Oryctolagus cuniculus: one gene and its partners. The protein of the gene in region 3 interacts with the protein of the main gene of each other region in a pairwise test. Links are inferred from orthologs where the notes say so. Each region holds a gene or a part of one and is shown on either strand. Other genes may lie near its edges. The genes, in order: MMAB, KIFC3, CBY2, METTL17, LMO1, C16H19orf44 and CKS1B.

Evidence for each region.
Region 1: the proteins of CBY2 (region 3) and MMAB interact in binary tests that used the Homo sapiens proteins (3 or more experiments, as listed by UniProt). The two-hybrid records come from large-scale screens. The link is inferred for Oryctolagus cuniculus from reciprocal best matches to the Homo sapiens genes CBY2 and MMAB.
Region 2: the proteins of CBY2 (region 3) and KIFC3 interact in binary tests that used the Homo sapiens proteins (3 or more experiments, as listed by UniProt). The two-hybrid records come from large-scale screens. The link is inferred for Oryctolagus cuniculus from reciprocal best matches to the Homo sapiens genes CBY2 and KIFC3.
Region 4: the proteins of CBY2 (region 3) and METTL17 interact in binary tests that used the Homo sapiens proteins (3 or more experiments, as listed by UniProt). The link is inferred for Oryctolagus cuniculus from reciprocal best matches to the Homo sapiens genes CBY2 and METTL17.
Region 5: the proteins of CBY2 (region 3) and LMO1 interact in binary tests that used the Homo sapiens proteins (3 or more experiments, as listed by UniProt). The two-hybrid records come from large-scale screens. The link is inferred for Oryctolagus cuniculus from reciprocal best matches to the Homo sapiens genes CBY2 and LMO1.
Region 6: the proteins of CBY2 (region 3) and C16H19orf44 interact in binary tests that used the Homo sapiens proteins (3 or more experiments, as listed by UniProt). The two-hybrid records come from large-scale screens. The link is inferred for Oryctolagus cuniculus from reciprocal best matches to the Homo sapiens genes CBY2 and C19orf44.
Region 7: the proteins of CBY2 (region 3) and CKS1B interact in binary tests that used the Homo sapiens proteins (3 or more experiments, as listed by UniProt). The two-hybrid records come from large-scale screens. The link is inferred for Oryctolagus cuniculus from reciprocal best matches to the Homo sapiens genes CBY2 and CKS1B.

The regions. Positions count from the first base shown.
Region 1 is NC_091452.1:18,547,983-18,552,007, forward strand, and holds the start of MMAB (corrinoid adenosyltransferase MMAB), read right to left. Parts: upstream 2,801-4,025; 5' UTR 2,719-2,800; coding exon 2,603-2,718; intron 1,106-2,602; coding exon 1,044-1,105; intron 1-1,043. Other genes in the region: MVK (mevalonate kinase), read left to right, coding at 3,070-3,095, 3,866-4,025. UniProt on the Homo sapiens protein: Converts cob(I)alamin to adenosylcobalamin (adenosylcob(III)alamin), a coenzyme for methylmalonyl-CoA mutase, therefore participates in the final step of the vitamin B12 conversion.
Region 2 is NC_091449.1:41,227,184-41,231,007, forward strand, and holds the end of KIFC3 (kinesin-like protein KIFC3), read right to left. Parts: intron 3,686-3,824; coding exon 3,555-3,685; intron 3,259-3,554; coding exon 3,135-3,258; intron 2,666-3,134; coding exon 2,536-2,665; intron 2,455-2,535; coding exon 2,225-2,454; intron 2,032-2,224; coding exon 1,897-2,031; intron 1,587-1,896; coding exon 1,478-1,586; intron 1,082-1,477; coding exon of another isoform or gene 1,077-1,081; exon of another isoform or gene 1,054-1,076; intron 872-1,053; coding exon 846-871; 3' UTR 501-845; downstream 1-500. UniProt on the Homo sapiens protein: Minus-end microtubule-dependent motor protein. Involved in apically targeted transport. Required for zonula adherens maintenance.
Region 3 is NC_091440.1:64,764,359-64,768,402, reverse strand, and holds the start of CBY2 (protein chibby homolog 2), read right to left. Parts: upstream 2,801-4,044; 5' UTR 2,700-2,800; coding exon 2,625-2,699; intron 2,347-2,624; coding exon 2,266-2,346; intron 1,258-2,265; exon of another isoform or gene 1,243-1,257; coding exon of another isoform or gene 1,129-1,242; intron 1-1,128.
Region 4 is NC_091443.1:53,913,165-53,917,322, forward strand, and holds the start of METTL17 (ribosome assembly protein METTL17, mitochondrial), read right to left. Parts: upstream 2,801-4,158; 5' UTR 2,724-2,800; coding exon 2,643-2,723; intron 2,490-2,642; coding exon 2,336-2,489; intron 2,247-2,335; coding exon 2,112-2,246; intron 1,018-2,111; coding exon 936-1,017; intron 712-935; coding exon 630-711; intron 290-629; coding exon 216-289; intron 1-215. UniProt on the Homo sapiens protein: Mitochondrial ribosome (mitoribosome) assembly factor. Binds at the interface of the head and body domains of the mitochondrial small ribosomal subunit (mt-SSU), occluding the mRNA channel and preventing compaction of the head domain towards the body.
Region 5 is NC_091432.1:57,917,141-57,921,094, reverse strand, and holds the start of LMO1 (rhombotin-1), read right to left. Parts: upstream 2,801-3,954; 5' UTR 2,696-2,800; coding exon of another isoform or gene 2,674-2,695; intron 2,566-2,673; exon of another isoform or gene 2,445-2,565; intron 1-2,444. UniProt on the Homo sapiens protein: May be involved in gene regulation within neural lineage cells potentially by direct DNA binding or by binding to other transcription factors.
Region 6 is NC_091447.1:64,879,808-64,883,949, reverse strand, and holds the start of C16H19orf44 (uncharacterized protein C19orf44 homolog), read right to left. Parts: upstream 2,801-4,142; 5' UTR 2,662-2,800; intron 1-2,661. Other genes in the region: CALR3 (calreticulin-3), read left to right, coding at 3,015-3,105, 3,190-3,291.
Region 7 is NC_091438.1:43,534,876-43,538,941, forward strand, and holds the start of CKS1B (cyclin-dependent kinases regulatory subunit 1), read right to left. Parts: upstream 2,801-4,066; 5' UTR 2,536-2,800; coding exon 2,477-2,535; intron 1-2,476.

The DNA of each region.
Region 1 (4,025 bases), on a different chromosome or scaffold from region 3:
CTTATTTCTTCTATTCTATTATTTCTATTTCTTATATACACTATCATGTTTTCAAATGATCAAAGTAATATATATGCATATGAAAAACAGAATGGAAGATAAGTATGTTGAATAAATAAAACCCTTCTACTCTTTACCCCCTCCCCCCAAAACTCAACTCAATCTCTCCCCCAGTCCAAGGTGTGATCTTCCAGATTATTATATACATAACTGAACAAATATGTATATATGTATGTGTATGTGTGTGTGTGTGTGTTAGACACATATACATGCTTTTTATCCAAATGGATTCAGTCTTTGGACTGTTTTGTAACCTACTTTTTTTTTTTTTTTTGACAGGCAGAGTTAGTGAGAGACAGAGACAGAGAGAAAGGTCTTCCTTCTGTTGGTTCACCCCCCCAAATGGCCAGTACGGCCGGCGCTGTGCCGATCCAGAGCCAGGAGTCAGGTGTTTCTCCTGGTCTCCCAAGCAGGTGCACTGCCTTCCTGGGCCACAGCAGAGAGCTGGACTGGAAGAGGAGCAACTGGGACTAGAACCCGGAGTGCTGGCGCCACAGGCAGAGGATTAGCCTAGTGAACCACGGCGCCAGCCTTGTAACCTACTTTTAAGAAGTTTGTTTTTTCACTTGATGGGCAGACAGACACAGAGAGAGAGCTGCCATTCACTGGTTCATTCTCCCAATGTTTGCGACAGTCAGGCCTGGAGCCAGGAGCTCCATCCAGACGTCCTAGGTGGCTGGCTGGACACCAGTCACTTGGGCCATCCCTGCTGCCTCCCGGGGTCTGCACAGCAGGAAGCTGGAGGCAGGAGCCAGCGATGGGGATCAAGCCCAGGTGCTCTGCCGGGGTGTGTGTGTGTGTGTGTGTGTGTGTGTGGCAGGTGTCCTAACTACTAAGCTAGAGGCCCGCCCCTGCCGTCCGTTTGCACGTCACGCCCCGGCTCTGTGGTGTCTGTTGAGATCTTCTGCGTGCTTTTCTGGAAGAACATCTAGGTGGGCTCTGCTACGTGGCTTTCCTTACACTTGTCACTGTCCCCGCCCTACCTTTGTCTCCCGTTTTGGTGTAAATCCTGGGGATCTTGGGTGTCTTCGGGGAAGCTTCTAGCCTAGTACGAAACAGACATGAGGACAGGTGAGTGGGGCTGGCTTACACCGAGGGGCTGCTCCCTCCCCGGCCTCTGCCACCCTCTGCCGGCATCTCTCCCCTCCATCCCTTCGAGTTGCGAACCCTTTGTGGGCCACTCGGGCCTTGCCCACGTCCATGCCTGCAGAGGGGCCGCTCAACAAGCACCCCCCGACGGACCACTCCCCAGAGCAATCACAGGCCTGCAATCCGGGAATTGTTCCAGGGCTCTCTCCACGACCTACTGCCTTCATCACCCTGCAGAGGACACAGCAGCTCACAGCACGGGACGCACCTGCCTGGGTCGGGAGGAAGGCAGGCGTAGGCCGGGGATCTGTGCCCAAGACTCCAGGGCCCAAAGTCTCACCTCCACCCTAACAAGTCAGGGCCTCGTGCAGGCCCAGAAACTAGAGCCACTCCCACCCTATGAGGCTTTGAGCACACACACTTGCAGAACTGCCAAAGCAGGGTTCAAAACTGGCTTCTGCGAACAGCCACCTGTTTGCAGGTGACTCCAAATTAAACTGCGGCATTACATGGTTAGTCAAAGGTTTAATGATTGCATCTATGAAATATGTCAGGGGCCAGTGCTGTGGTGTAGCTGGTAAAACCGCCACCTGCAGTGCTGGCATCCCATATGGGCGCTGGTCTGAGTCCTGGCTGCTCCACTTCCGATCCAGCTCTCTGCTATGGCCGGGGAAGGCAATGGAAGGCGGTGCAAATACTTGGGCCCCTGCACCCCCGTGGGAGACCAGAAAGAAGCTCCTGGCTCCTGGCTTTGAATCAGCCCAGCTCTGGCTTTTGTGGCCATTTGGAGAGTGAATCAGTGGCTGGAAGACCTCTCTCTCTTTCTCCCTCTCTCTCTCACTCTCAAATAAACAATAAATAAATCTTTTTTTAAAGAAATAGATCAATCCATAAAAATAATTTATTTTCATCTTATTTGGAAGGCAGAGAGAGCGCGCGCACGAGCTCCAATTCGCTGGTTCACGCCTTCAAACGCCCGCAGCAGCCAGGGCTGGGCCAGGCAGACGCCAGGAGCCAGGAGCCCCATCCAGCGGCAGGGACCCAAGTACCGGGGCCTTCTTCACCCGCTGCCCAGAGTGCGCTGGGGCAGGAAGCTGGAATTGGGAGCGGGGCCGAGACCCCAACCCAGGCGCTCTGATGTGCGATGCGGGCGTGCGAACTGCGTGAATCCATCCGACCCCTAATCCATCAGAGGTCCACCCACTGGGTCTGAGGTCTGGGCTGAGCGCATGGTGCAAGGCGGATGACGACAGCCCTAAGATGGCAGATGGCGCTGGCGTAGCCGTGTCCCGGCTCCCTGCCCTGATCAATGACAGCTGGCCTTCGTTCAGACTGGGGCAAGGAAAGCCTGGCCCCGGCCACGGTGACGTCAGCACACACCGGCGACGTCACGGCGGTGAGAGGACCCACGGCGACGTGCGGTGTGGAGCTACCCTCCCGGCCAGCCACTCACCTGTCCCCGTCCTCCACGCCCTGAGGGCCGCGGCTCTGGAAACGGGGACGCAGTAGCCTGCCGGTGCCAAGGCACCCGCGTAGGCCCAGGCGGCCTCCCAGGCTGCACACAGCCATGCTCCGGGCGACCTGACGGGGGCTGAACCCGTCAGGCTCCCGTCCAGGCCCTGGGAGGACCCCGCCTACAGCCGGCCGCGCCACCGTTCAGCTCCATTTTCCATTGGTTCGCGGCGCTCGCACCAGGGCGGGACACTCCCAACGATCTGTTTCCCATTGGTTTACAGAAGGAGTGGGGCGGGAGAACCCAGGGCGGCTCAGCCGCAATCTTTATTGGCCAATGCTCAAGCCAATTAGTAAAAGGATTCCCGTCTCGCGCGTCCTGATTGGTTGAGCGGAAGGACGCGGCCGCCTTCCCCCCGGAGCATCGGAACTCCGGGATGGAGGAGTGCCAGGGCCACTTGAGGTCCCATGCAGAGGGGTCGCGGTAGCTGCAGGTGAGAGGTCGCGGTCGCGGGGCCGGGTGGAGCGAGGTTCTGGGACCCGGAACGACCCGGGGCCTGGCGCCTAGGTTCTCTGCTGGAGTTTTCCTCAGCTCTCGAGAACCCGCGCTGAGGGGCGGAATCTGACAGGTGTGACTCGAGCTGCGGTGAGCGAGCGCCTACGAGACAGGGGTCACGGGAGCTCCGAGCTCCTAGTGCGCCTGAGCTGCCGCCTTCTGGGACCCCATCTTGCAGAACGGGGACTGACAGGTGTTTTCTGCAGCCTTGCTTTTGGCTGTGATGCGTTGGCAACACCGTCCGCGTCGGGGGGAGCGCGGGGTTCCTTCTGGTGCTCGGCTTCATTTAAAAGTCCACCTTCAGCAGTAGAAATAGTAGAAGCTGAAACCAAGAGGAGCCAGCCGGCGATGAGTAGCTGGCCGGAATCACGCGATTACAACGTGCCGGGCGCTGCTGAGTTTCCTTTGCGTGCATTTAGCCTTCCTAGCGACCCACTGGAGCAGGTGCACGTACTGTCCCCGGGTGGCAGGTGGGGAATCCGAGTTCATGGCCGATTCAGGTGCGTGAGCGGAGGCAGCATCCCTAGGAGTGGAGGGTCTGGGATTTGAACTCGGATCTCTCTGATGTATCGCGGGCGCAGAGCACGCGCTGGCGGGCAGCCGCCTTTTGGGTTTTAATGCTGGGCTTCACCCGGGCATTCTCTCGTCCTCTCCCTGCTGGTTCTGACACTGGGGATCCGGGCTCTGCCGCCTGGTTTTCACCTCCAGGAGTGCCAGGAGCCATGCTGTCGGAAGCCCTGCTGGTGTCTGCTCCGGGGAAAGTGATCCTCCACGGAGAACACGCCGTGGTCCACGGCAAGGTAGACGACCCCCCCTCGCCCCGGTGCCTTCTGGGATCGGGCAGCCCTTGTTCCTGGCGCGAGTCTCA
Region 2 (3,824 bases), on a different chromosome or scaffold from region 3:
GGGCTGCTACTGTAATTTATAAGGTGAATTTTATTAAATTTGTAACTCTTGCCTGCTCTCCTCGTGGGGAGGGGCACTGTCTGGCCCCCAGGCTCTCCCAGGACTGCCAGCCCTGGTGCTGCAGGCTGTCTGACCAGCAGGGCACAGCAGCAAAGGGCTAAGTCAGGTCCACCCCGCCATGGCTGCGCACCAGGTGAGGGGGTGCCCACGGCCAGCGCCGTCGCCCCATCCGCTGAGGGCGGCTCTGTACTGCCCTTCCCCGCTGCACAAGTTCCCAGGGCTGGGACTCAGCACAGGCTGGTGCAGGGGGAGTGGGGGAGAGCGGAGCCCCAGCCGCACCCTGCAGTTTCCCACCTATTGCGTGGAGGAGACACCCGTGGGATGGCTGCAGCAGCCAGGGGCGGGGCTGGCCCCTGTGAACCCTGGGCAGAGGGGGTGAGCAGGCCACACCCCCTGCGGCTGGACCGAGGGCTGGCCAGCCCAGCTCTTTCAGACCACACTCGTGTAAAAAAAGGCTTTTATTTTAAGAAGTAAAAATGGCTACGCTTCCAAAAGTTCTTAAATAGGACTTCAGAGGGGGAGAGGTGGGAACGCTGGAGTGCCTGCTGCCAGGCGCCGGGGGGAGCAGCTGAGGCCCCGCGCCCCGGGAATGCTATGTACACGTGGCTGGAGCCCCTCGGTGCCTTCTGGGAGACCCCGCGGGCCTGGGGGCAGCTGGCCAGCCCACCCTTGCAGCTCACGCCGTCCGCGCCACTGGTGAGCCCGAGCCGCTGCTTCTTGCTCTGCGAGGGGCCGGGACGTCCCTGTCTCCTGCGAGCCGGCGAGCACGGCCGGCTGTCCATCCATCACACAGGCAAGGGCCTCGACTTCCCTGCGGGAGGGGAGGCGGGGAGGTCAGCTGCGGGCCAGCAGCGGGCAGGGGTGCCCACAGCGGTGCTGCGAGAGCAGGAGGGAGCCCGCAGAAGCACACAGACAGCAGGCAGCGGGGACAGAGCCAGCCCCGCCACCCAGGCAGGCGGGTGTGCAGCGCTGGGCCGCTGGCCCCACACTCACCTGGAGACTCTGCAGCCCAGCCTTCAGGCTGAAATCAAAGCGACAGGCGTCTCACTGGGGGCGTGCCTCAGGCCAGGCCCCCACGGGGTCCTGCCAACCCTAGCCCTTTGCCGGCCCTCCAGTGGGTACTGGCACCTGTGCCGGGGCTCGCCTCTCCAGGACACAGGTGGGCTCCGCCCTCTCTGTGCCCAGGGTAGGGGTCCCTGGCCTGCTCCCTGAGCCCGGCCAGCCCCAGTTAGGCAGCAGGAGGGCTGGGCTGCTCCTCACACCGGCCCCTCCCTCCTTTTGTAAAGTGGACCCAGCGCTGTGTGCCCGACGCTGCAGGGCAGGGGACAGGGTGACAGAGGTTCAGAGACTAGAAAAGCCCACCCAGGTAGGGCACCTGGGGGCTGTGATGATGGAGGGGGTAGGGTTGGGGGCTTACCCGAGGGCTGCAGCTTCCTTCGGATGGAGCCCGCACGGCTCGTGGTCCCTGAGCCGGGGGCTGAGTGGGCACGTGCTGAGGGCTGCGGTGCCTGGCAAGCTGGCTCCCACTGTGAATGGAGGAGGACAATGGCTGGGCCTCCCTCCCCAAACCTCAGTTTCCTCATCTGTGAATGGGCGTATTAACTCTTATGCTCCCTGAGACGGGCTCTCGTTAAGTGAGACGCTGGTACTCCGTGTGCCAGGCCTGCAGGCCTCCCTGACCATGACAGATCTGGACTAAAGAGCTGCGGCATCTGGGTTCGTTCTAGCTCCACCCCCTTCACCCATAGGCCCAGTCGGTCCCCTAAGCCCCTTCCTGCTGCTCACGCCCCTCCTGCCCCGGGCCAGCCCGAGATGGGCCTGGGGTGGTTCCCTTACCTCCAGATGCTCCTGGCTGGACCAGGACCCCAGCTCTGTGCGCCGAGCCCCAGGGCCCAGCTCCACAGAGCGTACCCGCTCGGCAAACTTGAGCGAGTAGAGCGTCTCGCTGGTGTTTTTCTCCACAGGGGACACCTGGGGAACAGAGTGGTCAGCCCACCCAGGCCAGCCAGCCACCCCCGTAGCACCAGAGGGACAGTGATTCCGAGGAGGGGAGGGAGGAGGGTGTGCGAGGCACACACATCACTGACTCAGGAGCGTGGTGCTCGGGGGGGGGGGGGGGGGGCCCCGGAACGCGTCTTGGTGCCAGCCCATGACGAGCGCCCACCTGCACCACCATGAGGGTCTTGCTGTCGCCGCTGAGCGAGTCCTGCAGCAGGTAGGTGAGCTTGGAGTTGCGGAAGGGCACGTGGCCCTGGCGCGAGCGCAGGGCGGCAATGACGTCCCCCAGCGCCGACAGCGACTTGTTGATGTGCTGCGCCTCCCGCAGGCGGCTGCCCTCGGCTCCCGACTTGCCCACGCGCTCTGAGCCAGCCAGGTCCACCAGGTTCAGCTTCCCTGCAGGGAGGGTGCCAGCCAGGTCAGGGCTGCCTGCCGCGGGGGGGCCTCCGCCCAGGCTGCCCAGGGTCCAGCGCTCACCCGTGGTGCGCAGGCCCGTGCTGCAGTCCGTGCCCCGCACCGTCACGATGAGCAGGGCGTGCGAGCGGGAGCTGTGCTCATTCAGGTTGGTGAACTCCGTCGTGCGGTTGGTGTGGCCGAACTCAAACACCTGGGGCGCAGGGTTCAGAACAGGTCTTCGGAATCGCCCTGGCCCCAACGCCCCTCGCAGACATCTCCCAGCTGAGGGACATCGGTCCCTCAATGCCCACAACAGCCAGGGCAGGGCCAGGCCAAAGCCAGGAGCCTGGAACTCAACGCAGGTCTCCCAGGGGCGAACTAAGGACCCAAGTACTTGAGCCATCGCCTGCTGCTCTCAGGAGCCACATTACCAGGGAAGTGGAGGGGAAGCAGAGCAATCGGGCCTGGAAACTGCTATGGCACGTGGACATCACTGCCGCAGACGCCCGCCCTTCCACACCGGAGAGGAGCAAACAGGCTCAGAGCAGACAGGGGCAGGCCCGAGTCACACAGGGCAGGGCAGAAGCTGCCGTGGAACCTGGCTTCGTCCTGGTCCACAGCAGCTCTGCGTGGGCCCAGGGTCTCCCCAGCATTTCCCCCAGAGCCCCCCAGCCACACACCTTGTTGATGTCGTCCACACTCTGCACCCGGAACTCGGTCAGTCCTGGCACATACAGCTGCCCACTGCCATCTGGGCACAGCCGGATCTCCAGCTTCTCCTGAGGCTCCTTCCCCAGCAGGTCCCTGGAGGGGCGGGGCCGGGGGAGGGCGGTTACTCCTTCCTCCCAGGTGAGGCCTCTCCTAGCTCCCCACCTAGATCCCTGCTCCTCCAGCTGCTCCCTTGCACTCTGCTGTTCCCCAAGAGTCCTGTAGATGGCGCCATTCCTGCCTCCACAGTGAGCAGCTCTGTGGGCAGAGCCTCAGCTGCTGTCTGCTGTGCACCACTGCCCCTGCAGCCCACAAGGAGAGCCCCCCTCCACAGTCCCTCTCGTCCAGTCCCCAGCGGTGCCCACAGCCGCCTGTGGGGCTGGCGCCTGCACCTGAGGACCTCGTTGTAGATCTCGGCGGCGCTGACGGTGATGTTGTACTCCCAGTCGGACGCCTTCTCCTGCACCTCGGAGAAGAGCAGCTGCAGTGCCCGCTGGTTGATGCCAGGGTTCTCGGGGGTTCCCTAAAGAAGGAAAGGGCCCCGTGAGCCAGGCCTCTCGGGGGGGGGGGGCTGTGCCATGCTCACGTGGCATCTGCTGCCCCTAAGCCCCTCGGCCACCACTCCAGGGGAGCCTCCCTACCCAGAGCACCTCCCTGCCTGC
Region 3 (4,044 bases):
AAGACTTATAGAGCTAAGAGGTGACCTGGTGCAGCCAAGTGAGTATGGATATTGACCTGGTTCAAGATCCTGACTCCAACCCTACTATTACCTGAAGGGCTCTAGGAATTCCTGGTTCCCATACCTAGAAAATCTTACATTTGCGTGTCTTTGTGCTCAAAACATGATATGATCAATAGATCAATATTCAGTCAACACTTCTCCCCCTCTTTTCTCCTCTGCCAATGCTTACCTCCAATTGTGTGCACCATCTCATGTTGGGAGAGTTAGCAAACACATCATCTTTCTCACAGCACTAGTGGTGGTTTGCCCACTTCCTTCCTGCAGATGACTAGTCTACAGTATCCTGGAAGGTGCCTTCAACCTGCTTCCTGGTTGTGCTTCTTTGTCATGTGTACCCCTGAGGCCACATCTGTCCACATGGGGTACATGTGCCCAGATAATTGCTGAACATTTTCCTCACTGTACACCCACCCTGTCTTCCAACTGCCCAACAGCTGTACCAGGTCCTATAGCACAGAAAGTGGGTGGCCCCAGGACAAGCCAGGGACATAGTCTCAAGCCTCCTTTTCTCCTCCTTGATTGCTAGGATGTTTCTGGGAGTGGATAGGGGAAGTTGTGCTGGATATAGATAGAAGAATCTCTCCAATCTTTCTATCATGTGACCATCACTTATTTAAATCCTATTCCCACCCTCACTGTCACCTCCACCCCACCCTGGATTGGCATCTTCTACCCATCCTTTAACAATGGAAAGATTGAATTACACAGGCTATGAAGAATCAAAGGAGCAACACCGACCATCAAAAGGAATAGTGTCCAATGGAATTCCCTGTATACAACAGAAAGAATTGGACCTAGAAAGGTTCCTGTAGCTTATCATCATCCTGTCAAATGATCAGCAATGCTATATTCTGGCTAAGTCTCATGAGCTGAAACAGATAGAAAGTGTCTGTTACTTGCAGAGTTTTAAGGATAATGTGAAAACAAACATCCAGAATATTTTCTTGTCCTCTATTTGTGCCTCCTGCTGAACATACATGCCTAGATTGTTCAGTCACATACATAGAATGCCCACTGGTGACCCACCCTCCTACATGACTCTGGACAGAGCTGTCAGATAGTTACCTCTGCATTGGATCTCTCCATTCTACATTTCAACCCCTCTGACTGCATGCCCATGGTCTTCCAAAGGGGCCTTGAGTGACTCTGGGAGAAGCAAGGCCATGCCCTTTGTGACATAACAGCAGTAGAAACAATCCAATCAAGAGAACCCCACCAAGGAAACAGCCACTTGCAGGAGAAGACCTTAGAATCTCCAGCCTGTTGGCTGGTGCCGCAGCTCACTAGGCTAATCCTCCGCCTCGCGGCGCCGGCACACCAAGTTCTAGTCCTGGTAGGGGTGCTGGATTCTGTCCCGGTTGCCCCTCTTCCAGGCCAGCTCTCTGCTGTGGCCCGGGAGTGCAGTGGAGGATGGCCCAAGTGCTTGGCTCCCTGCACCCCACAGGAGACCAGGAGAAGCACCTGGCTCCTGCCATCGGATCAGCGCGGTGCGCTGGCCACAGCGCGCCAGCCACGGCGGCCATTGGAGAGTGAACCAACGGCAAAGGAAGACCTTTCTCTCTGTCTCTCTCACTGTCCACTCTGCCTGTAAAAAAAAAAAAAAAAAAAAAAAAAAAAAAAAAAAAAAAAAAATCCAGCCTGTCAGAACTGCACCTACACATTGTCCTAAAAAAACAAACAAGCAAAACAAACAAAACCATGCACGTATCCTTTATGCTCTCTCTTTGGTACACAGCAGGGCTTAATTCTATTGACATCTCCAAATGATACCTTAGCATCCAGTCAATGTGCTAGGTTTTCTCCTCATGGACTCATTCGTAAGCATTTGACCCCAAGCCCCAGGTCTACTTGTCCCCCTAGAAATCCAGAGTGCTAATACATCACCAAGCACCAAAGATCTCCCTTTGAGGATGAATATTTGATTGTTTTTTGTTTTTTTTTGTTTTCAGTCTAGCATAGAAACTTGAAATGTTAGGGTGGCCAGGTCATCTAATTCACACTCCTCGTATGAGAGAAGAGGAACCCAAGGCCCACAGAGGCCATGTTTCCTCCCCCAGGCACAGAATGGGTGGGTGGTCAAATGCACAACTAGAATCGGAGGCCTTGACTCTTCAGCTTACTCCACATCAGGCTGGAGTTTTGGAAGAGGAGTGTTATTCTGCCTTAAACGGGCAGATTTCATCCTTCTGTGATTAATCCTACCTGAGGCAGAACCACATTGATTGGGATTTCTAGGCTTTCAGATCTGGTATCTCGTTTTCTTGTAAAATTTGGCCTCGAGTGCTGTAGAAAAGAGAAAAGAGGAAAATTTCTGTTGCCCAACCCACCCTCTGGGCCTCCATTGCTCATCTGACAATTATAGGACTTTCTACTCATTTATTTGCTTCTTGTCAATTAGGTACATTATGAAAATCTGCATCTGCAAATGTGTGTGGACAATCTCTGATATTTTATTAAACAAATTCATACAGATACTATAGCTGATGTCTTTGAAGCACTGATTGCTAATATCTACATCCTTGTGTAAGACTACTGTTTCCCTCCCAAGCAAAAAGCCATACCAATGTGAGGTGCCAGGTATAGGTCCTGTGCAGAAGTTGGTCACCAAAACACTCAGAACATTCCAGAGGTGACATCACAAAACAATATGGTGTTCTGCAGGGCTCATGGTTTCTCTCTGAGCGTCACAGGTGGGAACGAAGCATCTGGCAGGTAGGAAGAGTTTTGCAGCATCTGTGACCACGTGGCTAAGTAGGGTCAGTGTGACACACAATACCCCAAACACCAGGCCCTGATTGGTCATCCCCACTGCCAGGCCGTCCTCTCTCCAGAAGGGGCATTATCTACTTGTAGTTGTATTGCTCAAGAAGAAATACCAACTGAATTCCCAGACCAAAGGAGGAAAGAGGGACTCAGGAGCTTTGTGGCACCACTTGATTCCCCAGGGCTGTCACCAGTGGACGCCCTGAAACCATCGACCTGGAGCGAGTGCCAGATCCCAGAGGTTAGGTGCTCAGTCCCACCAAGCTGCCTTCACCTCAGATGCCACTTGTACCATTGACTGATCAGCTATAAACCAGGAGTTCCATGACCCCTTCTTTGGCTTCAATAATTTGCAAGAATGGCTCACAGAACTCAAGAAAACACTTTACTTATGATGACCATTTTCTTATAAGGGGCACAACTCAGGAACACCAAATAGACGGGATGCACAGGGAAGGTATTGGGCATTGAGGGTGGTGTGGAGTGGCCGTGCCAGCCCTGGGCAGCCACTCTCCCAGCACGTCCACGTGTCCTCCCACCAGGAAACTCTCTGAACCCCACTGTTGAGGTTTCATTACACAGGCGTGGTTGTTTAAATCTCCAGCCCCTCCCCCCTTCCTAGAGGTAGGGGTTGGGGGGTGGTGATGAGAGTTTCCTCTTTTTAATCACATGGTCAGTTTTTCTGGCGGCAGCCCCCAGCCTTCAAGGGTTGCCTCATTAGCTGAAACTCAGGTGTGTTCCAAAGGGGCTCATTATGAATAACAAAAGACACAGAGGAAATGCCAAGGATTTTAGGAGCTCTGTGCCAGGAATCAAGGACAAAAGCAGAGTTTATTTTCTTATTATACCACGGAGGTAACAGCATCAAGACCACAATGCCCCATGCCCTGGCCTCACTTCGGGCAAATCATTCACCACTAGAGGCTGTTCATGGGAGCCTTTTCTTGTACCGTAAGCCAGTGGCACACCCCAACCCTACGTGCAGTAAGAAGGGAATGACGGACCAGAGGCAGCAGATCCTGAGACACCAGCCAGAACCACCTTTTTGAGTCCCCCACACCCAAATTTACAAGAAAGCTTTGCTTTAAGACCTAACATGCGGCCGGCGCCGTGGATCACTTGGCTAGTCCTCCACCTGCGGCGCCGGCACACCGGGTTCTAGTCCCCGTTGGGGCGCCAGTTCTGTCCCGGTTGCTTCTCTTACAGTCCAGCTCTCTG
Region 4 (4,158 bases), on a different chromosome or scaffold from region 3:
TTCAGATATGGGTCTTTTTTCACTATGATACTTCTTTTAAATCCTGGCCCTAACCCATATACCTTCTTCTGCCTCGCCTAATCGGAGAGAAGAAACATTCTAGGTTCTCAACTTTCCTATTTTTCCTGTGGTTTTTCAAGTTCTTGATACTGGATTGGTGTTAAGTGTGGCCTTCTAGAACTAGACTTGAGAAAGGGATGAAGCAAGTTACTCACCAGGTGACAGAGCCAGTACCCGAGCCAAAGTCCATTAAGGTTTGTGGCTGAAACTCTGGAATTCGAGTTCGGATCTGGAGAAACACACAACACCCCACAGTATGGTAAGCAGATACTTATTTAGTGCCTTAGTAAATATGAATTAGGGGACTATGACAGAGGAAGAAAGATGTGAACACATTCTGAGATTCAACATAAACACTTAACAACAAGCTCCTAAAATAGTGGTTCTGAACCTTTCTTGGGTCACAGAATCCTTTTACAGGACAAGAGAACTTTAAGAAAGAAAGAAAAAAAAAAAGCAAAGCATAAAAGCCTACGCAGCACCCTAAGAATCCCTACCGTACAGACTACATTATGAATCAATAAGGGAACAGCAGGTAAGAGCGTTCAAGTTAGACACAGATTTTTCACCTCATGGAATGCCCTGGAGACTGCCGCGAAGCCACCATCCAGTCTCGCTGCCATATACACCAGGCTCAGTCCTTCATTGTAGCTGCACAAAAATCAGAGTCACACCTGCTGACCATTGCGAGGAAATAAGATCTTGGAAAGGGCTCTTCCACTTTAGCTTTTCACTCCCCAGGGCAGAGTGGTCCTGGGGATCACTATCACTCAGGCACTTTTTCAAACACTGCATTGATCATGCAATTGTGCGGCTCCATTCTCCTTTTCAAGTCCAACTTTTCTTCCTTCTGCATGTTTTCTAGTCCCCCTCACCTCAGTTCTTGCCAATGGTAGGTGGTTTTGCGCAGGGCATGTAGCACTGCTCCACGAAGCTTTTCTTCTGTCTGGGATGAGTCTGCGGTGAGAACAAGGACTGGAAGTGAGGACCTAAGGAGAACAGAGACCAGATCCAATATTTAATTCACTGCCCTCCCGGTTCTCCCCTCTCCCACTGGAAAAGCCTCAAAGCTCAAGAAAGCAGCCAAACCTAGAGAAAAATTTCAGCTAAGGATAATCACCACCAGCACCCCTAGAGTGTATGAGATAGTATTTGCCTCCAACAGCAGTATATTCAACTTAACTGACCCTACCCAACAAATTTTTTTCTATAATAAAGGAAAATACAATTTAGATTTAAAGGATAAGAGAAGGACAATTATTTTGTGGATTTCCTCACTTCCCCAAAACTTAAGACTGTGACATCTTGAATGTTCCTATAGGTGGAAAAGGGACTCTATTGTGTTTGGCAAGTATGTACTAAATGCCCATTCAGAGCCAGATTGTGGGGGGTGTAGGGGACACAAGATAAATAAAAGGTCTGTAAGACGAAGGAGCTCACAACCGTGAATATATTACATGTATTCTCCAATCCCAGAGGTTTTCAGCATTAGGCAGTTAACTTTACAGGGACTTTCACCTTAATAAGAATGGGCCAGCGCTGCGGCTCAATAGGCTAATCCTCCACCTAGCGGTGCCGGCACACCGGGTTCTAGTCCCGGTTGCCCCTCTTCCAGGCCAGCTCTCTGCTGTGGCCAAGGAGTGCAGTGGAGGATGGCCCAAGTCCTTGGGCCCTGCACCCCATGGGAGACCAGGAGAAGCACCTGGCTCCTGCCTTCGGATCAGCGCCGTGCGCCGGCCACAGTGGCCGTTGGAGGGTGAACCAACGGCAAAAGGAAGACCTTTCTCTCTCTCTTTCTCACTATCCACTCTGCCTGTCAAAAAAAAAAAAAAAAAAAAGTAGATGGTCCCAACTGGGATCCAGATTTCAATTGCCATACTCTGTCCCTTCCTCACGTCCCAAGGGTAGTCTCTGGAACAAATCTATCTTCCAGTAAGGTGGAAAGTCAAATAAGAAACTCCAATATCTATTTGAGAGACTGTAAAATTATCTCTTGCACTTCATTCCCCAGTTTCAATCCGGCCTAATCTTTCATCAGTCTTCAATCCTACCTGCGTTTTCCAGGAACTTTTTCTCCAGACTCACAGCCCGTCTTTGTAGCTCCTCAGGTTCTACGGGCAAGTGTCGGCTCCAGAGATAATTGGTCAGTGCTTGCACATGCTTCTCCACATTGGGCACTGCGTTCTCTGGAGGCCAGAGATGAAAAGCAGAATTACCTGTGTGCAAAGGCCCATTTCTTTTTCTCCTCGGATACCCCTTTCCCGCCGTTACTTACGGAGTAGCAGTAGCTGGGCGGCGTCAGCCAGTGCCTGTGGCAGTTGCACGCACGGCAGACGTAGGATGCCAGGGTGCCGACGGTGAGGCTTCTTCCCCAGAAAATCGGACTTGTTATCTACCTGACTCACGCCGCGAACAAGGGCCGCCAGCGCCTGGAAGCCGAGAAAGGAAAGCTGGGTGCCAGCCACAAAGGAAGACTGAGGGCTCTCAATTAAAGGAAGCGGCTGCCAAACAGCTCCTTCTTGGAGCGCAGCTGTCTCTAGGGTCCCAGAGCTTCTTCGGGAGCAGAGAAAGTAGGTACTCACCCGGGACTGGGGGGCCATTCGAAGCCCGCGGCGCCATCTGCCCAATATCGAGGGCAACCTCTTTCCCGACGCAGCCGCCATGCCTTCGCAGGCGAACCGGAAACAGAAACGAAAGTGACCCTCAGCTCCCAACGACGCGCGGAACTTCCTCCGGGATTTCGCTCGAGACAGCATCAACCAATGAGAAGAAGGAGTGCTCATTAGTAGCCAATAAGCAGTCGATATGTAAATCTACTCGCGGCGGAAGCCGTTCGTGGGCGGGACTTGGAAGTCAGGTCCGACCTGATCGGCGGAAAGGGGGTGCTGCAGAGCCCGAAATTGAGGGGGCGGGGCATGAGGGACGGAGGCGGGCTTTCGGCTGTCAAAATCTGGTTGCTTTTCTCCCTGTAGAACTGAATCTGGAGTTGTTTTCCTCTGTGAACCGGAGAATGCAGTAATGAAAAGGTGAGGAAACCAGATTTAAACTACTAAAGGTAGTAAATTAATAATTTAGTTAACAGTTTAATTAGTTGTCAGTTTCTCGTCAGTTAGCAATAAGCTAACGCTAACGCTTGCTGAGAACGCCCACATGCTAGGTAATGTGCTAGGAACTTCTCCTTGGGGTCTGTTGGGAAGTCAGCATCCCATATCAGAGTTCCTGGGTTCCGCATTCCAGTTTCTTGCTGGTGCACACCCTGCTAGGCAGCAGGTGATGGCCCAAGTCCTCGGGTCCCTGTCACGTAGGGGACCCGGGTTAAATGACCAGTCCCTGACTTAGGCTTGGCTTCACCCCTGCTGTTGCTGGGATTTGAGGAGTGAATCAACAGGAGATTCTCTCTCTGTGTTTAAAAATAAATTTTCAAAATTAAGGAAGAAAATCCTTCTATGTAATCTAGTTCCTACCAAGGCATATCCTGCTGTCAGCCCCATTTTGCACTTGAGGAAAGTGAGACTTCTAATGGTTAAATATGTGCAAGATCACAATTTTTTTTAAAGATTTATTTTATTTATTTGAAAGAGTTACAGAGAGAGGTAGAGGCTGAGAGGGAGGTCTTCCATCCGCTGGTTCATTCCCCAGACGACTGCAACGGTCAGAGCTGCCCCGATCTGAAGCCAGGATCCAGGAGCTTCTTCTGAGTCTCCCACAGGGGTTCGTTCAGGAGCCCAAGGACTTGGGCCATCTTGTACGGCTTTCCCAGGGCATAGCAGAGAGCTGGATGGGAAGGGGAGCAACCAGTACTAGAACTGGGGCCCATATGGGATGCCGGTGCTTCAGGCCAGGGCTTTAACCCGCTGTGCCATAGTGCCGGCCCCTGAGATCACAAATCTTGTTAGGTGACAGCTAGTTTAACACTGATTTCATTTTTACACAATATGCTATACCCCATATTGTTGGTGGTTGGGGCACAAGTTAGTTAACTTTATGCTAAGTGTTTGGAGGTGTTAGCATGTAACACTAAAAAGCTTACTGTGCCGTAAACTCTTGATATCTGTAGCAAAGGTCCATCCTTACTCTGCTGGGATAGAAGTCTAGTGA
Region 5 (3,954 bases), on a different chromosome or scaffold from region 3:
CTTCGAGAAGAGAGACGAGCGGCTGCTTCTAATGAGATGCCTCCTCGGCAGCTCAGAGGGTTTCGCTTTCCCCTTCATCTCGAATACTTAATCCTAATAGTCCTTGAGTATATTTGATGTTAAATATATCATTTTGCTCAGGCTCGCCGTCCCTCAGGACTGCAAGCTTGATCTCTCCCTGCCACTGCCGCCACAGCTCTGCCCTCGAGGTCTGAGGGAGGCTCTGGCATGGCTGCCACTGGCACATGTGGTGCCAGCCCCGCGCCCCTGCCTGAGCTGGGGGCCGGACAGGCAGGCAAGGGGCAGCTGTCCTCCGTGCTCCCAGGGCTCATTCACTCCACAAGGGCTGCTTCTCCTCACTCAGCCAAGGCCAGTTGCCCCCCATGCCCACCTTGTGTGGTGCTTGGCTGTCTTTGTGCTGGCTCCAGCTCACGCCAGCCCCCAAGGTTACCCAATTAGCGGCCACACAGCTGGCATCCCTTTGGGGAGTTGGGGCTCCTGTGCCCGAGGCCTGGGGTAGCAGGCAGTGTGTCACAGAAGCAGGGTGGGCGTGCCAGCAGGGGCCTGCAGCTGCTATGATGACTACTGGTGCTCACAGGTGGCTGGCTGACTCTGCACCTCCAGGTGGGAGGGTGGCACTCCCCTGTGACCTGAAGGGGGACCTACACTACTGGGTTACAGAGCTGCCCACCAGCTCTCAGAGGGTCTCCAGACACCGGAAGGGCCCTGCTGGGATGACGGAGCCAGACAGGAGCTTCACTCATCCCATCCCTCCTCCTCCTCAGCCCAGAGGTAACTCCTACCCCTGGGCTCACCCCCATCCAAGCTGCCTCCAGACCCGGGGACACGCCCGTAACTCCAGAGTGGAATCCTGAGATCCCCCTGGGGCCGGGAGAGGCTGTTTTCACCAACACATTCCACAGGTGATGAGCGTGTGCTCACACTTTGGCACGCCGAGAGTGCTCCAGAATGCCCTGGGAAAAAAACTTGTGGGCACAGCAGTGCGGGGGGGGGGGGGGGCAGCAGGTGAGCAGCACCCTGACTACTGTGAGGAGAAAAGCACTGGTACTAGTTGTCTTATGCATTTCTGTGCAGGGAACTGCGGTTTGTCCTTGTGTCTGGCAGGAAGGCTTCCTGCACTGGGGGCGGGGGGGGGGGTGGTGAGACTCGGAGCCTGAGGGCCTAGGCAGACCAGATATTCCAGAACTTTCTGGGGAGGCTGTCAGATGTACCTCCACCTGAGGGCCCTGCTCCCGACACAGTGCAACTGTCTACAAGACGGGGTCACAAGTTGGCTTCACAGGTAATACTGAGAGAGGTATTCAAGGTGACAAGGACTGCTTTTCTTGAGTACTAGAGCTGACAGCACAGAGTGGCCGTACAGACTCTGCAATGCAACCAGGATGCCCGCAGGCCAAGTTCAGACGCTGCCCTGCCCCCTAAAAGCGGCCAGTGCCCAAGCACTTGCTAGCAGCGGGAGTGCAGAGGTGCACAGTGGGGAAGCTTTCTCTGTCTGGTTTCTGGAGAACTCGGACAGACCTTCTCCAAGGCTGCGGTCACAACTCTTAGGCCCCCGGTGAGGCCTACGCCAGATCTGCACCCCAGAAAACACACGTCTCCTCCTCCTCGATGAAGGCCAAGCCGCAGCCACACAACAGCCCTGGGAAAGGTGCAGGTGTGGGCTGCCCAACCGTCCAGGTGTACCCTGGGACGGAGGGTGTCCTCCCTTGCAGGACTTTAAGGGCTAAAATCCAGGCACTCCTGGGCAAAGTAGTTCAGCTGGTCACTGTGGGAGGTGGCAGGGACTAGAGGGGCCAGAAAGGAAGGCCAGGTGGCCAGAGTCTCTCCCCAGTCTCCCGTCCTTCTGCCACAACTCTGCATCCTCCAGACCCTGGGGACGTCTCTGGATAACCAGGGCTTCCGGTGCTCCCAAGGGACTAGCAGAGGCTAGGGTGTGAGATGGACCCAGCGTGGATCCAAGACTTTGTGAGCCCAAAGCTTACTAGTTTGGAGGTGGGGAGCTCCTTAAGAGAAGAGACACAAGATTACTGATACAAAATGACCACCAGGGACTGGCCACTGAGCAGCCCGAGGCAAACGTGCCTCTCTGATTGAACCTGGTTTTGGTGGAGTTTTATGGCCCACTCTTCTACCCGAGCCAGGGCAGCCCCTCCCAAAGTGCCTGGCTGGGGGCCCGCAGCTGTGAAGTCCCAGGCCTGAGGGGCCCCAAGACCACGGGGCTTAGACTGCACCCTCGTCCCCAGCGGCGAGCGGCAGAGGGACCACCAGACACCCAGAGGCCTGGGACTGGCTCGAACTGCGGCGTCCCCGCGGCGCGGGTCGCAGAGGCGCTCCTGGTGCCTGCGAGGCAGTCAGAGCCAGCGGCAAAGTTCTCGGCCACAGCGTGCGGGGTCGGCGGGCTCCAGCTGGCCCATGAGACTTACCCGTCCCGCGGAGCCACCCCGGGGGTTGCGCCCGGCACCCTCCACAGACACACACGAACGCACACTCCGCCGCCGCGCTTCCGGAAGCGGCCAAGCGGCCCAAGGCAGCCGGGGCGGGCGCGGGGGCCGCTGCCGCTGAGCGGGATGGCCTGGACAGAGCTCGCCCGCCCACCCCCCCGCCCCATGCCCCACGCGCCGCGCGGCATGGCACCGCGCGCCAGGCACCTACCATCCTCCTGGTCCAACACCATGGTCGCCCGGCGACTCCAGCTAGACACAGGCCCAGGACGCCGAGGGGCGCGCGGCTCGCACTCCAGCCGCCGCCGCCCGCCCGCCCGCGCTGCTCCTGCGGGCCCCTCGCGGGCTCCGCGCCCCGCGAGCCGCGGCCGCCGACCGGGGCGGCCCGAGCGGCGCCCAGAGCGCAGCCCCGCGGGCAGGGAGCGCGGGAGGAGGGAGAGGGCGCGGCGCGGCTCCGGGCGGGCGCGGGGGCGGGCGCACGGGCGTAATTGCCCGGCCGGGCTCGCTGGGGCCGCGCGAGCAGCCGCTGTCCGGGCCGGAGCGGGCCGGGCTGGAGCCGGAGCGGCAGCCTCAGCCGGAGCAGAGCGGAGCGGAGCCGGAGCGGCGCGCGTTCTCTCTCCGTACCGGCCGCGCTCGCCTCAGCAGAGTGAAGCCTGCATTTCCCAGGGCCCCTCAGATTCCCCTGTTAATTAAATCAATTCATTATGCTCAGATCTGATTAGCGGCCCTTCCCCCCTTTGAATCAATTATTCAATACACAAACATAATTGCTTGGGCCAGAGGTGCCCGCCATTAGCTTATTTAACTCCAAGGACACTAATTACCCGCAGGGCACGGGAACTTTTCTCATTAATTCTGACAAAACACAAAAGCACAGCCAGAGTGTGTGCGTGTGAGGGCTGTGTGTGCGTGCGTGTGTGACCGCACGCCAGAGGGAGGGCCGTGCGGCGAGCTGGGCCCCCGGACGGGCAGCGGCCAGCCTTGTGGCCGCGCCGGCGGGAGAGTGGACTCCAAGCCTGGGACTGGGGGCGCCGCGGGAGGAGCGTGGGAGCGCGGCGGGCTGGGTGCGTCCCTGGGGGCCTGGAGACCCGGCACAGGAATGTGAGTGGCTGTGACCGTGCGGCTGTGACTCCGCGGCAATTCTGGCCCGCGCCACGGGATCCCCTTTCTTTCTTCGTTACTGCCCCAGCCATTGCCGGCCGCCTGCTCAGACCCTCTGGGGAGACTGCAGACCACGCGAGAATGATCCGGGTGGAATCGGGAGGGCCACAGGGTTCCCCCATCACCTGTCGGGACACTGGCTCAGCCTTGCCCTTCCCCACTCCCCAGCTGTAAAACCCCATCCCATCCCCCTCCCAATACCGTCCCCACTAAATGTCCTCACCACTCCCATTACCACAAATGCTTGACACCCAGGCACCCCCTTCCCCCACCCTGTGCCTAGTGCCTGGCCTCCTGTCTCAAGGCTGCGTGGGGGTGTCGCCCGTGGCTG
Region 6 (4,142 bases), on a different chromosome or scaffold from region 3:
TCCAGGATCTTTTTTTTTTTTTTTTAAAGATTTATTTATTTATTTGAAAGGCAGAGTTGGAGAGGCAGAGAGAGAGACGACTCCGGTGGGGACCCCTGTGAAGATCCTAGAAGCCAGGCCGGTGCTGCGCTGTAGCAGGTAAAGCCGCCACCTGCAGTGCCAGCATCCCATATGGGCGCTGGTTCGAGTCCCGGCTGCTCCACTTCCGATCCAGCTCTCTGCTATGGCCTGGGAAAGCAGTAGAAGATGGGCCAAGTCCTTGGGCCCCTGCACCTGCGTGGGAGACCTGGATGGAGCTCCTGGCTCCTGCCTGGCCCAACCCTGGCCACTGTGGCCATCTGGGGAGTGAACCAGCAGATGGAAGACCTCTCTCTGAGTCTTTCTCTCTTTCTGAAACTCTGCCTTTCAAGTAAATAAATAAGTAGCAGACTACTTGTGCTCCTCATCATCTATTCAAGGCCAGATAAACAGGTTTCCTGCCCTGAGCCCTTCAGTTATCCTCAGTCTCCACCAGTGACGTTATAAAACCAGACGATCTCTACAGTGGATCCAAAACAAGTAAAAACTACGGAATCAGGACAAACCCTAGAAATACAGACAGGGACACGAGGCGATTGAACACCTGGGTTGAATGGGTACAATTTTCTATACATGCTGTTACTAAAAGCAGCTGTTACACACGTGGGGCCAGATGGCCACGGGCACGAGTGGTCCCCTTCCCTCTCGCAGGGGACTCTGACCCAGGTGGAAAGGGTTTTGTGCTGTGCGGGGCGACAAGAGTACTCCCAGCCTGTGCCCGGATCCCGAGTACTCCCAGCCCGTGCCTGGATCCCGAGTGTCTCTGGGGAGTTGAACGGCAAGGATTCAGCTTTAAGCCTACCACGGGCTGCCGTCTCGGGGTATTTGGGAGGGACGAAAGCTCCGGGACCGGCTGCCATTGGGTTGCACAGGCACTTGTGCCTGGTCCAACTGGTGACCCCTTGCAGCCCGGCGTCCTATACCAGGGCTCCTCCACCCATCACGGAGGCTCTCCCAAGAGCTCCCAGAGGAGTCCCTAACACAATGCTGTAGCAAATGGACACAATTTATTAAAAAAAAAAAAAGTCAAGAGCTATTAGACCACGTTAATCCCAGAGTATAAAATGGAAATAACACCAAGTAGTATAAAGAAAAAGAGGAGGGATTTGCGAGAAATGATCATGGTGGATTTTCCTTTCATCTTTTTTTTTTTTTTTAATTTAAGATTTATTTATTTGAGAGGCAGAGCTACAGAGAGAGAGGGAGTGACACAGAGTTTTCCATCTGCTGGTTCGCTCCCCAAACAACAGCTCTGGCAACGGCCGGAGCTGGGCCAGGAGCTCCATCCGGGTCTCCCACATGAGTGGCAGGAGCCCAAGGACTTGGGCCATCCCTTAGCTGCTCTCCCAGGCGCATCAGCAGGGAGCTGGATGGGAAGCGGAGCAGCCGAGACTCGAACCAACATCCACAGGGGATGCCGGCGCAAGCCTACTACGCTCCATGGTGTATTTTCGGAAAAGACTTAGCCTTAGCAGCAAGTAGAATTGAGGGTTCGAGACCCAAAGTGGACCAGCCGCTGAGCTTGCCTTGCAAACCCCGCCCCACTTGTTATTTTGTAACTTTCACAAATTTTGTAATACGTAAACAGAGCTATTGCCCTGATGACATCACAGCGAAACTCCCCTCCCCCTGATCCTAGATCCGCCCAGCCGCACCCACCCATTCCCCCTCCCTCCCCCACCGAGCACCGCCCCCCAGCTTTCTCAGCCAATCAGGAGCTGGGGGAGGGAGCTGCGCGCCCGCGGGGGCGGGGCCGGCTTCCACCTGCCGGTGGGTGTCCATCAACACCTGTGCGTCTGTGTCCATCCTTGGTTGGTGGTTTCAGGTGGGCTGATGGCCCGCAGACTTTTTCAGAATCATAACGGGGGGTGGGCATTGTGGCCTGAGACCCGGCTGCTCCACTTCCGATCCAGCTCTCTGCTACGGCCTGGGAAGGCAGTGGAACATGGCCCAAGTCCTGCACCTGCGTGGGAGACCCGGAGGAAGCTCCTGGCTCCTGGCTGCAGCCCGGCCATTGCGGCCATCTGGGGAGCGAACCAGCGGATGGAAGTCCTCTCTCTGTATAACTCTGCCTTTCAAACGAATAAATAAATAAAAAAAAAAAAAAAAAAAAGACGGAGAATCCTGACGCACCTGCAGGCGCCAGACGCAAAGCCCCCTACCCCGTAACCGTCAGATTCCGTTTTTAAGAAATGTCCCTGAATAACAAATGTGCCTAAATAACGAACCTAGAGATTCCGAAAGCGGGCCGGGGGCCGGGGCGCACCGGGACCGCAGGCGATTTCAGGAGGAATTAAAAAAAAAAAAAAAAAAAAAAAAGTTGTAAAGTTGGCGTGTGGGGACGGGGGCACCACTCCAGCAGATAAAACACACCCTCATAAAGTTGCCAAAAAACAGACACCAGCCTGGTAAACCACAGACGCCGGTCTCTCCCGCCTTGGCGCCATCGGCACCGCATCCAGCCCCTGACCGGGAGCCTGAGGTGAGGCGCCGCCACACCAGCCCAGCCCTGAGGGGCGCCGCATTCCCCCGCAGCCCCTCTTAGGGAGCCAGCCCTGCAGCCGCCCCACCATTCCCGCTCACCTCCTCCCTCGCTGTCCATCCGCCGAGGCCCCGGGGCTGCAGCACCCGGGTCAGACTGAGGCCCAAGGGTCTGTTGCCCCGGGTAACCGCGCCAGAGTGGAAGGGACTACATTTCCCGAAGGACGCCGCGCGCCGCTGACCAATGACGCTCCAGGTGACCATCGCGATGCATCATGGGAGTAGTAGTTCTGAGGGCAGGCCCCGCGTGCTTTGCGCGCCCGGGACCAATGGTGGCCTCGGTGTCACAATCGCGAATTGTGACGGGAGTTGTAGTTTCGGGAACGGAGCCTGGCCAGCCGCAGAGACCGCCGGGAGCGAGGGGGCGGTTACAGGGAGTGGGCGCGCACGTTTCCATGGCCGGGGCTCGAGTCCACTTCTGGGCTATTTGCGCGCTGCGGGTGGCGCTGGCCACCGTCTACTTCCAGGAGGAATTTCTAGACGGAGGTGAAGGGCCGACGGTCCCGCACTCTTCCCCGGGACCCGGATGAACGAGTTCCTGCTGTAACCCGTGTTGTTTCCCCTCTGCAGAACGCTGGCGCAACCGATGGGTGCAGTCCACCAATAATTCCCAATTTGGGCATTTTAGACTCTCGTCGGGGAAGTTTTATGGTCATAAAGAAAAAGACAAAGGTTAGTGTAGCGTCAGGGAGTGGGGGGCCACCTCGTAGCGACGGTGTCCAGGTAGGTTGGGGGGGTCACATCCGGGGGGCTTTGGCTCGGGGAGGCCAGCACCGTGTGCTGCCTGTTGCAAGTAGCTGCGGTCCGAAAGCAGGAGCTTAAAAAATAATAATAAACAGTCTTCCCACGGGGGTGGTGCGGTGGCAAGGGACCCAACTGCTTGGGTCATCCCCGGGTCTGCATTAGCAGGAAGTGGGGTCCAGAGTTGGGTCCCAACCGCCTAGACCCCATGCCCACCCCACGCCGCCCCTCAATAAGTTTGTTTTTGAGTTGGAGGCATCGAGGAGACCCAGTGAAGGAACCGGTCATCCAAGGACCAGGGCACCCAGGCGCAGCACACGGCCTTGTTCTCTTGTAGGGTTTTGAGGGGGCCCATCCCCCCATCAGGGTCTCTGCACCGCTGGCCCACCCCCGCCCCATTCCTGACACGCGTGATCCCAAGGACCGGCCTCCACCCTGGCTTCTTGGGGCTGATCTGTCGTCTTGGTGCACAGCCAACGAGCTGGGAATGGTTTGGGACATTTTGGTATAGGCGGGGGAGAAGAGGAAAGGTGGGTGGTGGTTTATAACCCATAAAAATGATGGAAAAGTCGACGAAATACGGGCGAGGTTGAGACAGGAACCGAATGGCCCAGGAGGTCGCAGATATGTTCGCTCTCTGGCCTTGGAGAAAACGTCTGTGGGCCCTTGGATGTAGGGTTGGAGGGGGAAGGAGGCAGCAGGTGCATGTTGGCTAAGGAGCACCAAGATGGAAGGTTCTAGCGCCCCCACCGCACCGCGGGGTGGTCCACACTTCACCGTAG
Region 7 (4,066 bases), on a different chromosome or scaffold from region 3:
TAGTACTGGATACAGCCTGTTGGACAAGTGCCTGTATATAAAGCCAAGAAAGGAAAAAGAGAAACTGGCTTCTGGAGTTTATACAATCTTTTTTTTTTTTTTTTTTTTAAAGATTTATTTATTTGAAAGGCAGAGTTACAGAGAGGCAGAGGCAGAGAGAGAGAGAGAGAGTTCTTCTATCCACTGGTTCACTCTCCAGATGGCCGCAATGGCCAGAGCTGTGCCAATCTTGAAGCCAGGAGCTTCTTCCAGGTCTCCCACATGGATGCAGGAGCCCAAGGACTTGGGTCATCTTCCACTGCTTTCCCAAGTCACAGCAGAGAGCTGGATCAGAAGTGGAGCAGCCAGGCCTCAAACCGGCACTCATATGGGATGCTGGCACTGCAGGCAGTGGCTTTACCCGCTACGCCACAGTGTCGGCCTTTGAGTTTATACAATCTTATTGTGGGGTAGAGGCAGCTGAAAATATAGGCCAAGTTATAAAAATTCTCACAAGACTATATATATAGTTTTAAATTTTATTTATTTGAAATGCAAAGTTAGATATTTTCTGTCTGCTGGTTTATTCCCCAAAAGGCCAAAACAGGCAGAGCTGGGCCAGGCTGAAGCCAGAAGCCAGGAAATTCATCTGGGTCTCCCATGTAGGTACGGGGGCCCAGGGACTTGGACCATCCTCTGCTGCTTTCCCAGACACACTAGCAGGGAGCTGGATTGGAAGTGGAGCAGCCAGAACTTGAACTGGTGCCCGTATGGCATTGTAGGTAGCGCCTTAACCCGTTATGCCACAACAAGGCTCCTCGCAAGGGTATATTAAAGAGTGCGAATGAGTACTTCCAGTGACTGAGTGCCAGGCACTGTTGATGTTCATTTTCTGTGCCTTTGTGGATCTTAGGGTTTTCTAGTAATTACCCACAATGTAACAGGCCCTACAAAGAGCATGAAATGTTAACATCGATAAAGTGGGGTGTGGAAGACACATCACAGAGGTGAACTGTTAGTCTTCTTTCAAAAATCTTGAATCTCATTTTCCTAACTCTGAAGGGGCATGCCATGAGACTTGATTCTCTGACCAAGGATGAGTCTCCATGGCAAAGAAATGACTCCTCTGACTGGAACTGGACTCATTCAGATACACTTCATCACACGCAACAAAAATGTCCTAAATGCTCCCTCAGCACTAATTATCAGAGGTTTTTTTCCTAAAGAGATAATTCTAGTCTAAATGTCTGAAAATAGCTGACATTCTAACCAGCCCCTGGCACAAAATCTGGCCTCAGTACATTAAAACAAAACAAAACAAACCCCTCTCTTAAACCAAAACGCCACTGCCAAACTAACAGTTACATCTTCCCAGGGACGAAACTAGTGATGTCTCCCAGCCCTGCAAACACGTCATAAGCATACAGTTGGAGTTCGCTTAGTTCGGATGTAGAGGAAAACAGCTGAGGGAAATAAAAGGAATGGAGTCTGAGAAGGATCTAGGATGATCCCAGCCTGAAGCTGGTTATGTGTCTGTAAACACAGCCCGAACCGGGCTGAGGGAAGGCACGAGAAAACCAAGCTTCCATTTCCCCCTCCATTCCAGGAGGCAAGATAAAAGCCGCAAGCCGTCTTAAATATTGCAATTGATACAGATTAGTGTGACGACAACACTTGTAGAATTCTGTCTTTCCTCCTTTTCCAATCTAATATTCCTATGGGCTCAGAACTTATCAAACCCAAACGCTCCCCCATCTTGGGCATCTGGCCATCCAGTACCTCCGGGACAATTCTGGTCAAGCTGTACTTTTCCCTTCGTTGCTACAGTGTCACCTGAGGGCTCTTCCAGGGAGCCCCCGCCCCTTCCTTGCCAGGCTGTGTGTCCCCACCACGCCCCGCTCACGGCCCGGGCTCCGCAGGCCCACCACCTTCTTCCAGCCGTCTGCCAGATTCTTGCTCAGAATTTTAAAGACCGTGAGATGCTCACATCCAGTAAACAAGTGAAACCTGCACGCACTCCACTGGTTCTCAGTGCTTCTCGGCACTTTAATCCCCGGCCCGGTCCTCGACGCCCCCGTCCTAAAACAAGCCAGACAACCACGCCTCTTTCCTTCCCCAAGAATAAGCAGCATTAACTTCCTCAGCATTCTCACCGCTCGCAGTGAGAACGCGAGGAAAAGGCCAGCTCCGCTGCTGACACCTTCACCCAGTAGACTCCACAGCAGCTCCCAGTGAAGCTGAGACCAAGACCCAGAAACCCACAGGGTGAAGGTGGTCGGACTCATCACGCCTCCCCTCAACCGGGGGCTGACTCCAGACTCCACTGTTCCAGGGCGCCGGCCACCCCCCGCGCACGCGCCTTCCGCGTTCCACCAACCTCACACCCACCCCCGCTGGTCTCCTGCGCATGCGCCCCCTCTGTCGCCTCCATCCTCGCTACCAACTCCTCGTGCCTTCTCTTCTCCCGACCTCGCTACGGCCCCCCGCCGGCACTAACCGGTACTCGAACTCCTCGTCGTCGTACTTGTCCGAATAGTAAATCTGTTTGTGCGACATGATCGCTCTGCCTGCGGGCCGTCAGCCCCGCGCTGCCAACCTCCAAACAACTCCCAGCAGCACGCGCTCCCACCCTCTTTGGCCTCGCTTTCAAACACACCGCCCGCACTTCCCATTGGTCCTTTGGGCTCAAGGCGGGACAGCTCCACCTTCGAGCCTCCTATTGGCTTAGGATTTGCTTCTCCTCCAGTCTTTATTGGAGTGCGCTTCTTACGTTTCTCAAGCACAAACTTGGGTCAGAGCTAGGCCTCTAATTGGTTATCGCGGCGCCTGTGAGCGCCTTCGCGCTACCATTGGCTGATTCAGGAAACTAGGCGGGGCGAAGGAGGGACCGTGAGGTAGAGGGTCAGGGGTTAGTGAGGCCGGAAGTGAGTGTAATAAAGTTTCTCCAGGGAGGCCGGGCCGGGGAGAAAGTTGGAGCGGCGACCTAAGCAGGCAGTGGCGTGATCCGGAACCAAATCGGCCCGCGGCGCGGTGCGGAGACCCCATGAGGCCCTGGTGAGTTTTCACTTTTTTTTTTCTCTTTAGGCAACCCACTCCTCCACCCCGGAACCCCTCTCCCGGGACCCCACTTCCGGTCTTCACTGCTAAGTCCCGCCCCTGAGACCCCCTCTCCGGAAGTCCCACCTCCCAACTTCAGGGGGCTCCCTGAACCCCAGTTTTTAAATTTATTGTCTCCGACCCCTCCCTGTAGCCCAGTTTTCCTGGAAGTCCCACCCCCAGACATGCTTCCAGCTCCACAAGAAACGCTTCGTTAGTCCTCCCAGTTCTTCCAAACTCCGCCTCCTCCTCGCGACGATTCTCCGCTAACTCCTGTCTGTCAAAGATCCTATCTCCCAAAAGGGCAAAGCTCTGCTCTTGAAAGAACGATTCGAATTCACTGAGGCCACGCCCCTCGATAGGCCCCGCCCATAGAAGCCCCGCCCCTTCCGCAATCCACGTCCGATTGTCCCGGAGCCTCATCTCCTGGAAGTCTGCTGCGCATCCTAGAGGGCCACGCCCCCTAAGGAACTCGATCCGGGTGGCACCCAAGTCATCACCCCAGTTTCCTCAGTCTCAGAAGCTCCACCTGCTTACGTTTCCTGTCCTTTCTCTCTTGGGGCCTTGGGCTCAGTTTTCCCGAGGGCTTTCCCGCTCCACTAGGTGGGAGCTCTGAGGAGTGAGATTAGAGGCAGCCTTATCCTCCCCCAAGGGTGGGCCTGGGCTTGGGGTTTGGCCCGAGGACGGGACAGAGGCTTGCTCATAGTTTCCCAGCCCACCGCAGAAACAGCTGTAGGTTGAGGCTGTGGCTAGACAGGGCCGTGGATTTGCTGATGTGTGGCTTGAGGACGTGACAGGAGAGAGAACTTTGTACTACCAGAAAACGGTGGTTTGCAATGGGGTTAGGGATTTGTATCCTGTTTTTTTTTCTTTTTTCTTTTAAGGGACTCCTCAGCCTCTACTTGTTTGGCTCCATCCCCCGCACCCCCAGCCAAAATTCTTGTCTGGGCATTCCTCCTGGCTCCACTTGTCCTGCCTTCCCTGCTGGAAA